Linked DNA regions of Caenorhabditis elegans. The protein of the gene in region 1 interacts with the protein of each later gene in a pairwise test. Each region holds a gene or a part of one and is shown in the gene's direction. Other genes may lie near its edges.

Region 1 (4,541 bases):
TTCACGAAATGTGTGTGATGATGCCATATAGGGAGTAAGTTTGTATATTTTTAAAAATCGATTTTCCTTGATTCAACTCTCCAACTCCGTCAAACTTTTGTCGTTCTTTTTTGGCCGTTTTTTGGGCCGTTTTTTGGGCTTTATGAGATTTTTGACCAAGCTTCGGAATGTCCCATTTTTCTGATTTTTCGGAACTTCTTTTTTTTCTTTCTTTCCACATCAGCCTCGCCGAAACCTAAGCCTTAGGCCTAAGCTGGGTTTTTTAATGCTCGAAAGCCTTCAATTTGTTAGAAAATTTCCAGACAATGCCCGAAATCCTGTGGAATATGCGATTCTCCCGCCCCAACCTGGTGCATGGATCATTGGCCGGAATGCCCAAAATATCAAGTTCCCTGCTCGGAAACTGAGAGAATGTGGGAATTATGAAGATTAAAAAACATCTGATTTATCAGAAATTTTTCAGAAAGTGCCCCAGAAGCTGTGATGCGTGCGGGAATCCGTCCACAAAGGAGGCGTCTGTGACTACAACTAATGGCCACCTGCAAATTGGGACTACAAGAAGACTACAGGCTACACAGACTACAAAGAGTACAGAGACTACAGAGACTACAGAGACTACAAAGGCTATAAAGACTACAAAGACTACAGAGACTACAAAAGCTACAAAAACTACAACTCCATCAACTACCGTCAAAACCACGACTACAAAGCCAAAACCGCCGTGCACGGATTCTTCGCCAAAGTGAGTTTCTTAAGCCTGAAAAAAGTGTTTCATATTACTGACTAGGGCTTCCATGGTAGGCAGGCGCGGTTTCAGAGCTTGACGCCTGCCTGAAATCTGCCTCATGCAGGCCTTTCTTGCATTTTGACATTTTTTCCCCATTTTTGACGGAAAGTTCACTTATGTACCAGGGGTGTGCGGCAAATTTGCCGAATTTGCCGAATTTGCCGTTTGCCGAGCTCGGCAAATTTGCCGAATTTGCCGAGCACGGCAAATTTCAAAAAAATAGATTTGCCGAATTTGCCGAGCTCGGCTAATTCTGAAATTTGCCGCACACATCAAAAATTTCACATTACAATTTTGACCAAAACTATTGATTTTTTCCCAAAAAATGTTGTAAAATGACACAATATTGAGTTATTTTAATGGTTAAGCAAACACACTACACGGAACTTATTCTGAAACCAGACGTGTGTTAAAAATTTAGTAGTTTTGGTGCATCAAAAAATATCAAATTTTTCGGAGTTAGTTAAGCACGGCAAATTTTGAGATTTGCCGCACACCCCTGTTATGTACATATAAGCATAAGGCTTGGATTCAGGCGAGAGGCAGGCGGAGGTCGCCTGAATGTCAGACAGGTAGGCGTTTTTTCAGCTATAATATTGCTATAATATCAGCTATAATATTCCATTTTCAGCTGCACAACCTGGGCGAAGAATGGCTTTTGCACCAACACCTTTTACCCACCGGAGAAACGAAAGGAGTACTGCGGAAAGATGTGCAGAATGTGCTGACTTGGAATATTTTGGACATAAATTGTTAATTTCAATGTGCTAATAAATTATTTATATGATTTTTCTGCGATAACTTCAGAAAAAAGAAAAAAAATTGAGTTTTGAGCATTTTTTTCAGAAATTTTCCGAATGGTGCAGTGGGATTTCGTCTCGGTGCAGAAAGTCACAAGTTCGACCCCCAGTTCTGGTTGAACTTTTTTTTGGAAGTTCTGGAATAAACGAAAATGACGTTCAGCTTAGTAAAGTAGCGACACAACTTTTTTTATCAGTAGGTTTATCAGTTGATTTCTAGATTTTTTGTTGATATATATTATTTCTATGCACCTGTCGTAAAATACATCTTTGCTTTCGTCCACCTTTTTGATCAGAATTATGATGATCAGGCCATTAAAATTCCTCGAAATTTGTTGATTAACATCACTTTTAAACAAATATCATCATTATTTTAATCACCATCATCATCATCTTGGTTTCTAACCCCCATCTTAACTGATAACACACTGAAACTTTTGTTATAAAACAAGGCATTACATCAAGTATTATGTACTAGATTTTCCCACAAAAAATGCACTACTACATCCTGCCTATTCTTTTTTCAATATACATTATTGCAACTTGCAATCTATGTGAAGACTCAATGATCACATGTCCGGATCTCAAGGATCAATGTGATCAGGGATTTGTGCAGAGGTTGTTACTTATTAATATCGTACAAAAATAACTTACTACCATCAACATCAATAGTATTACATTAAAAAGCATTATGTGCATAACCTATTAAAAATTATAACCTCATACTATTGCTACATATTACTACGAATTTTTTATTAATATTAAGGTTATTAACGTATGTATGTAGTAAACAATATTGAAGGTATTAACGTAATTAAGTTTATTAAACTTATTAACGTTATAATTATTATTAGAAGTACTAACAGGTTATACTAATTTGTTTTGCTTGTAATATTAACGTTTTAACGTCATTATTAGTGTTAATTTGTTCAAATGTTATCATAGTGAGGCAATAATATATATATATATATATGTGTATTTACATATGTTATTATATTTTGTAGTCAATTCACACTGTTGCATTTTATATGCTTATCGCATTGGGTGAAATAATATTTTAAAAGCTACTTCAATATTCCTTATGTTAAATTACAAAAGCGAATGTTAAACTACATGTATACAAAGGAATTTTCAGTCAATGCCCATACACTTGTGGAATATGCCATCAGGATCCAAATCAATGTACTGACACTAACTTAGATTGCTTGAAGTTTGATTCAATGTGCAAGACGGATGTGAAGTATCAGAAGTGAGTTGTATAACAATACACAAACATGCATTAAATTTACGTATCTGTTATTTTGTCAACAAAACGATCAATAGTTTTTTTATAAAGCAATGAGCATTCATAAATCAAACTACCTTTATTTCCAGACAATGCCCATACACCTGTGGAACCTGCGTACCAGCTACCCCGGACAGCTGCTTTGATCATATGATTGAGTGCCCAAATTATAGCGTTCCATGTACTGACGCTGTTAAGATGTATGTTGGAATTGTAGGACGTTCGAATTTGAAAATTTTAGACAATGCCCAAAAAGGTGTGGAGTTTGCACCTCGGGAGCCAGTAATTCGACATTAGCTCCTCCCAGACCGTCACCAACTCCACCATGTTTTGATAGTGGCAACGAATGCGCCACCTATACGCTGCCATGTGATGTGAACCAAAAGATGTCGGGGATTTATTTTGAGATTAACTATTAAATTTATAGTGAAACTTTAGATTCTGCCCACGGACCTGTGGAGTTTGTGGAAGTACTGGGGTACCTATGGCTCAAACTACGTTGCTCACTACGGTAAAGCCTACGACTACAGTAGTACCAAGTACTACAACAAAACTGCCAGCTACCACGACCAAGAAGCTTCCATCAACTACGCCAAAGCCACCATGCAAGGATTCGTCGCCAAAGTTAGTTTATAGATTGATGCTCATTTCGAAATTTCAGTTTTTCTATCTATTATTAAAACATGATAGATTGCTGCTTCAATGTTAAGCTATCATTTCTCATTTAATTACTATTTAAGTAAGTCTCTCAAAATTTCCAGCTGTGCCGGGTGGGCAAAAAACGGCTTCTGCACGAACACCTTCTATCCACCGGAGAAGAGAAAGGAGTACTGTGCAAAGACATGTAGAATGTGCTGATTTTTTGATTTAATAAATTATTTATTCTTATCAAAATGTGTATCAATGTGATGACAAAAGAGGGTGTGAAGTCGAACATGAGGAATTATGACTTCTTAACGCAAACGGCATAGTTTTAACGAAAAATGTGCTACGAGACCCCTTTGTTTCCTGGTCATGTGAGAGTTTGCCGTATCAGTAGATTTAGTAGATTTACGGGGCGTTGCGTGTCGCGTCGCGGCTCGTTTCTAGAACTAAATGAGTTTGGTGTCAAGCTGCCCCATTTCAGTATAACCTACGTAGATCTACAAGAATTGCAGGCATTTAGACGCAGACTTCTCAACTGATTTTGCATGGTTAAGAATGTGCTGACGTCACATTTCTTTGGGGAGAAAATTCCCACAATTTTTGTAGATCAAACCGTAATAGGACAACCTGACACCACGTGTGAATGTATTTGTCCGTGTGGAGTACACGACTTTTCCACTTGTTGTCCGGCAGGCGATTGTCAATGGAGCGTGAAAAATGCAAAGAGGAAGATCCCACGGTAGCACAGAAACTAGATGGGTTGGTTCATGATACTCAGTCGGGAAACCTATATTGGCTACTATCTCGAAAATCATCACAAAATCGATTTCGCGATGCATATAAGAAATGACCGCAATGAAATTATCTACATATCTTTATTTGTGGTGAATTTTCGATTTTGTACTTCCTGGCCAAGTTATGCACGTTTGTTCGGTGGAGCGCGTTTGCACCCATCTAGCAACTGAACCACCGTGATCAGAAGCCCGTGCCAGGTTGATTTCTTGAAACCCCTAATATCAACATA
Region 2 (6,029 bases), on another chromosome or scaffold:
ACTACCAGGTCTCGAAGCGGCCGATTTTCTCCAATGCCAAAATTTAAGGATTACTGTAGTTTCCAAATCCTCGCTTCTTTTTGGATTTTTTACGATGTTGCATGTGAAAGTATAAAAAAATAAATGAAATGTTTTAAAATGAGAATTCAGAAACTGCCGTACTCCTTAAAAGTCGCTTCGAGACCTATTGTCATAGTTTTGAGACAAAATCTCGCATCTGACCAATATTTTATGCTATTTCATTTTTTAAAATTCATGTTTTTTTTCCAGATTGGAGCAAGCTGCCGCACTTGGAATGGGAAATGCTCGTTCTCTTGCCTCACTTTTTGACAAGGTTTGTTCTCGTTTTTTTGATAAATTTATGAGAATTTTAAGTTTTTTTTCGTTTTGTTTGAACATCGTTATCAGCTGAAACTAGGCTGATAGCGAAGAAAAGAAATTTTTAAGTCGAACAAAAAAAAAGAAAAAGGAAATTTCCTTGTGACTGTTTAAAAAAACTGAAACAAAAACGATAGTTAAGAGGATTGTTTCAGGTAAATCGAGGAAAACTTCTCAATCAGGCTACACTGAACACGATAAGCAAACCGTTCGTCAACGAGAGTGATTTCATTTTTGATGATACTGTCGCCAAGGGACACGGATTTTTCCATTTGCCCATTCATAGAGCTGGGGTGAGATTTTGAATAATCGAAAGAGGGACGAGGGATGATGGAAATTTTGAACTGAAAAATTTTAAAAAATCCATTTTCACAATAAAAAAACCAAAAAAACCAACAAAAGTCTGAAAAAACTCTTAAAGAACGAAAAAGTCAAAATTCATCCAATAAAGCAGATTTTTTAATTTTTGCCAAAAAAAACTTTTAAAAAATCCATTTTTGCGAAAAAAAAAACCACTGTCCTTTTTCCCATAAAAAATTCAAAAAAATCAATTTTTCTCAAAAAAACCCGAAAAGTACCTTTTTGCTAAATAAACATAAATTAACAAAAATTAACAAAAATTAACAAAAATAACAAAAATTAACAAAATTAAAAATAAATTAAATAAATAAACATAAAACATAAACAGCCAAAAATTAATTTTTGCATTAAAAAAGACTGAAAAATCCATTTTTGTAATAAAATTACAACTGCCGAAAAAAGCAAAAAAAAAAAAATTTTGAAACCCCCAAAAAATTAGCAAAGGACCAAAAAAAAAGAGCCCAGGTGGTGAACAGAAAACGAAAAAACAGGAGAAATTGTTGAAAAACCATTAATTTCGAATTCATTCAAAAAATGAAAATGCATAGAAAAAATATTTAAAACCCTAAATTTAGCTAAAGAACCTGCAAAATGTTAGGAGCGTTTTTTTATTTAATTTTCAGTGAATTTTTTTAATATTTTTCTTTCATAATTCGCCATATTTTCAGACTCAATTCGGCTTCGGACATACCGGGCACGGATGCCAAATGGTCATCACAGATCTCAAGAATCGAGTGACAATTGCCTACGTCACAAATGGGTTGAAAACGGGACTCTACGACTTGTGCAGGACGTACTGGGGACTTCAGACTTCTGTATATGATGTCATCGAACAAATTAATATTCAATCATAATTTATTTTATTTCATTTTTTAATTAGTGATTCCATATAGTTTTAAGATATATCCCAAATCATCCCGCGTGTTCTTTGTACAGTCCGTTTTTAATTCATTCATTCCAAGTGTCGTTCTCTCAATGTTGAAGCTTCTTCCCCCGTAATTAACTGACCGAGTGACCCCACAAAATTGCATATTTATCTGCTCTCTCTCGATTTCCTTACTAATAAACCATCAGTTCACCAGTTTTTAACCACATTTGCGGGGAGCTGGCAGGTGGTAACCCGCAAGTTGCCAGGGGCAACGAGGGTGGCTTAAGGCAAGTGGCCGCGCGGAAAAGAGCTTTCCAGGGGGAGAGGAAAGCAGGATGTCCATATTTGGAAGCATTCTAAGTCTGCAGGATGCCATAAATCGATTTCCGCAGTTTGAATATCAGGTGGGGAATATTAATTGTTAACACGAATTTGAAAAGGAATTCGATTTTTTTCAATTTTTGGATTTTTTTGTAATTTATTTAAAAATTATTATTGTGAATTTTTTAATTTTTCCATTACACATTATTAAATAACTAAAAATTGAATTCGTGGTTTATTGTTCATTTCCAACTAAAAAAATCCCTTCAATACCCAAAAAGTTGCAGTGGGGCGCATTTTCAACGTTTTAATTAAATTTCAAACGTATAATTAAAACTGAGTCTCGTCACAACAGATTTTTGTTAAATGCGGAAAGGTGTGCGTCTTTAAAGAGTACTGTAATTCAAAATTCCAGAATTTTTTTTAAATTTAATGTACATATTTTCATCTAAAAACTATTAAAAAACTAAAAAATTCCTCTGCAACGAAAGTTTGGAATTACAGTACTCTTTAAAGGCACACAACTTTTCGCATTCGACAAAAATTGTCGTGTCTAGACCGTAAACCGTATTTTCAAGGAAAAATAGCAAAAGCCTTTTTTTCAGATAAATCGCCTCGAAAAAGAGCAAAAAGACACCGAAGCCGCGTCGAGAGCAAGTTTTCGCAAACATTTTGTCAGACAGTGCCAGGAATTGCATAGACAGGTAAAAATTGCATTTTCTCTATCTGCCTTATGCCTGGCTGCCTACGGGCCTACCTACCGCCCATTATGGGATCTCCGGTTTGATTCATAGATTTTAGGTCGACCAACTTTCTATTTAATTTCAATTAATTGTTTACAAACATTGAAAAATTGTTAGGCATATGTGTAGACCGTAGGCACTCTGGTAGGTAGGCATTCTCGTGCCTACGTAGAAGTATCATTCAAGGATATCAACATATGCATACAGTTTGCAGCTCGACGATCACCGAAATCGAATTGAAAAGGCCAAAACTGACGAGACCTACAAGAAAGAAAACGCTCTAGAGCAACTTGACAAGTTGAAGCAAAGATTGACAGCTTTGAGCCCGGAAAAGGAGCAATTATCGTTTTCTGTCAGGTAAAATTATAATTAAATTCAATTTCTCTAATAAATAGTTAAATATTCAATTCCAGTGTGGACTCTCAATCAGAAGAAGAAAAACCGAAAATGGCTGCAATTGGCCGCCGAAAAAGCACAATGTATAACGATGATGAATCAGAAGATTCTGATAATGATTCAGAAATTATTGAGACGGATGTTCAGCTGGATGATCCTCTTCCGAGTCAGCCACAGCCTCCACAGCAACAGCACCAGCAACCTCAACCAAAACCCAGACAACCTATCACAATTACAAAACCTCTTGAATCAAAGACTTTGAATGAACGTCAAGAACTTGATGAAGTCATCTCAAGGCTTCAGAATCCGAGTCGTGGAGATTCTGGAGAAGTTATGGAACCAGTTGTAGTCCGTGGCAATGTTTTTGTTGCAATTGACAGTTGGGATGCAGAAGCTGAAGGGGATTTGGAGTTAATCAAAGGAAAGAAGTATCGAATCACACAGACAAGATCCGATGGTTGGTGGACTGCACTGGATGAATATGGTCAGAGGGGTCTTGTGCCAAAGACTTATTTACAACATGTTAAGGAAAAGCCGAAGAATGTGGTTTGTTACTTTTCTCTAGTATCGTTAGTTTAATAAGTAGAAATTTTCAGCCATCAAAAGTGTCTAGTCGCCTCGGAGTTCGAGATTCGGTGATCGGAATATCTACGACTACTGATCCATCAAGACGAGAAGCAAACCGGCAGGCATCTCGAGTTGATGACTGTCTTGGTAAAGCATATGACAATGACACTCACTTGTCACTAGTGTGCCATATGGCTCCGAGACTATCAACTTCAAATATTGGATTTCATGATCTTTTTTGGAGTCATTACAAGGATCAGGTAAAAGTTTAAAACTTGCAGTTTCTACCCAAAAAATGCTACAGTTTTGCCAAAAAACCTCTGAGTCTTCCTAAAAACGGCTGAGAAAATTGCTTTAAAAATTTTTACTATGAATCATTTGCTACTCATAGCAACACATTTTTTGCTCACTTTCATAAATCAACTATATTTTTTGCAGGTTTACAAGCGAACTGTCCATATATCAAAAATTATCCGTCTAGTTCGATTTGAAAAGATGCCCCTAATCGAACACAAGGCACTTGTCAGAATGGCTCTTGTCGACATCACAAATCCAAAATCCACTCAAATTGTGAGCAACGTGCACACTCTTGTGCCACGTGTCAAATCTTCAACGTGGTACTTTGAGAAAAAAGAGAGCCAGACGAGAAGCTGCATCGAGTTTTCTGATTTTGTTCTCCGCTCAAACTATCGATCTCCGACAGTGGTACTTGTTGTGGAAGCATCTCATTTGGTGAAGACACAAATAGGAATTGAGGAAAAGAGTTTGGGACATACATATCTGCGACTGATAATTGATGATAAAGCAGTGCCAAGTAGAACGAATGTTTTGTATTTGGATGATGAAGTGATGACAAAAATGAAGTTGCCGGAAGCTTCGAAAAGAAGAGTTCTGGTTCAAGTGATGGATGTTCCCAAGGATAAGGTTTCATATGTGGAGTGAGTTTTGGAAACTAAGAAAGCTGAAAATCTGGATCCCTGACCTGACTTTAAGTTCAACCCAAATTATTTTTCCAGCTCCCTCCCCGATGTCATAGTATTCAATGCTCTTTATTTACCATTCTTCCACTTTTACCGCCGACGAGCTGGAACCATTTTAATTCGGGACAATCGGAATCCATTGAGTGCTGGTAGGATTTCATACCCACCCAAACAATATTTTGAACTAATTTCAGAATTTATATCTGACCCACTTCTCTCTGTATTCCCATTTGTTTGTGACCAGCATGACATTATGGATATAATGCTGAAAATTTGGAAAACCAAAAAGAAAGTGCTCGCCAAGAAAAACGAAGCTGAACAAACTGCCGAGTTCTTCCAAACTTTTCTACACACCGCGTTTTTTATTCATGGGATTCGAATGATTTCGTATGATGTCAAAGATGATCTTACTCTTTCGATTAGGCAACAGGTAGAGCTGCTGCTCTTGGAGCTCGTTTCAAAATCAGGCTTCGATTATTGTAACATTTCAGACTATGCAACGATTTGTGGATGCATTGAATAAGGGACTTTTCAAGCAGTTCATCGCAGATCAACAATGCAAACCAATCAATATTATCGATTATTCATTGGATCTTTTAGGCAATCATTCTATTGACTAATTTATGGAGATAAAATTAAGCTCAATAAAAAATTTAACTGTGTAATAAGTTCTACTCATCTAGCATCTAAGCATAGAAATGTTTCAGTCATTGTTTCAGTAAATTTCAAGTTTTGAAATTTTTGGTTTTGAAATTTTTGGTTTTTTTGTTTAATATTTGAATAATTTAGAGTCGACTCCCAAACATAGGAGTGGTAAAACTGAGCAATGGCCATTTTTCAGTTGTAAATTTTCACACTGTACCCTCTCAAAAAATGGATTTGAAATGAAATATGTTTATTCGCAATAATGAATAAAATTGGGCGATTTTTCAGAATCACAGCCTCATCGAATTTATTCCATTAAGGGGTTTTATTACATCATGAAATTCTGCGAGCTGACGATCAGGATGTGGTTCTGAGAAATCTAAGAGTTCCTAAACTGGCTTGCCGCTGATTACAGTAGCGGCAGCGGAAGAAGCTTCAGGTGCGGCGGTAGAGGCCTCGGAAGAAGCAGCGGTTGATACCACAGAAGCTCCACTTGCAGTAGTATCTCCACCAGCTGTGGATGCAACGGATGCATCGGTTGCTCCAGAGACAGTAGAACCTGGTGCATCAGTACTCACTGGAGCAGCAGTACTTCCACCAGTCGGCTGAGTTCCTTGAGACACGGTACTTCCGTTGTCAGTCACAGGGTTTACAGTGGAGACATCGCTGGCAGTTGTGGATGGAGCAATGGTAGACGGAGCAATAGTGCTTGGAGGTGAGAAGCATGTGTAGCTGGAGTTTACATTTTGTTGGAAGCAAGAAATTGAGTTG

Evidence for each region.
Region 2: the proteins of mul-1 (region 1) and nphp-1 interact in a two-hybrid assay, tested with the Caenorhabditis elegans proteins (one large-scale study listed by BioGRID).

What each region holds. Positions count from the first base shown.
Region 1 is NC_003282.8:4,120,560-4,125,100, reverse strand, and holds mul-1 (ShKT domain-containing protein), read left to right. Parts: upstream 1-1,934; 5' UTR 1,935-2,080; coding exon 2,081-2,205; intron 2,206-2,722; coding exon 2,723-2,836; intron 2,837-2,961; coding exon 2,962-3,072; intron 3,073-3,113; coding exon 3,114-3,260; intron 3,261-3,310; coding exon 3,311-3,496; intron 3,497-3,633; coding exon 3,634-3,730; 3' UTR 3,731-3,759; downstream 3,760-4,541. Other genes in the region: F49F1.7 (ShKT domain-containing protein), read left to right, coding at 1-34, 303-413, 464-742, 1,419-1,515.
Region 2 is NC_003280.10:10,648,142-10,654,170, reverse strand, and holds nphp-1 (Nephrocystin-1-like protein), read left to right. Parts: upstream 1-1,914; 5' UTR 1,915-1,941; coding exon 1,942-2,010; intron 2,011-2,532; coding exon 2,533-2,631; intron 2,632-2,884; coding exon 2,885-3,027; intron 3,028-3,083; coding exon 3,084-3,612; intron 3,613-3,662; coding exon 3,663-3,893; intron 3,894-4,071; coding exon 4,072-4,571; intron 4,572-4,649; coding exon 4,650-4,762; intron 4,763-4,807; coding exon 4,808-5,043; intron 5,044-5,104; coding exon 5,105-5,233; 3' UTR 5,234-5,278; downstream 5,279-6,029. Other genes in the region: lact-3 (Beta-lactamase-related domain-containing protein), read left to right, coding at 271-334, 534-671, 1,407-1,592; M28.10 (Flo11 domain-containing protein), read right to left, coding at 5,648-6,029. UniProt on the Caenorhabditis elegans protein: Plays a role in the extension of dendrites from phasmid ciliated sensory neurons. May be necessary for initial assembly of the cilium.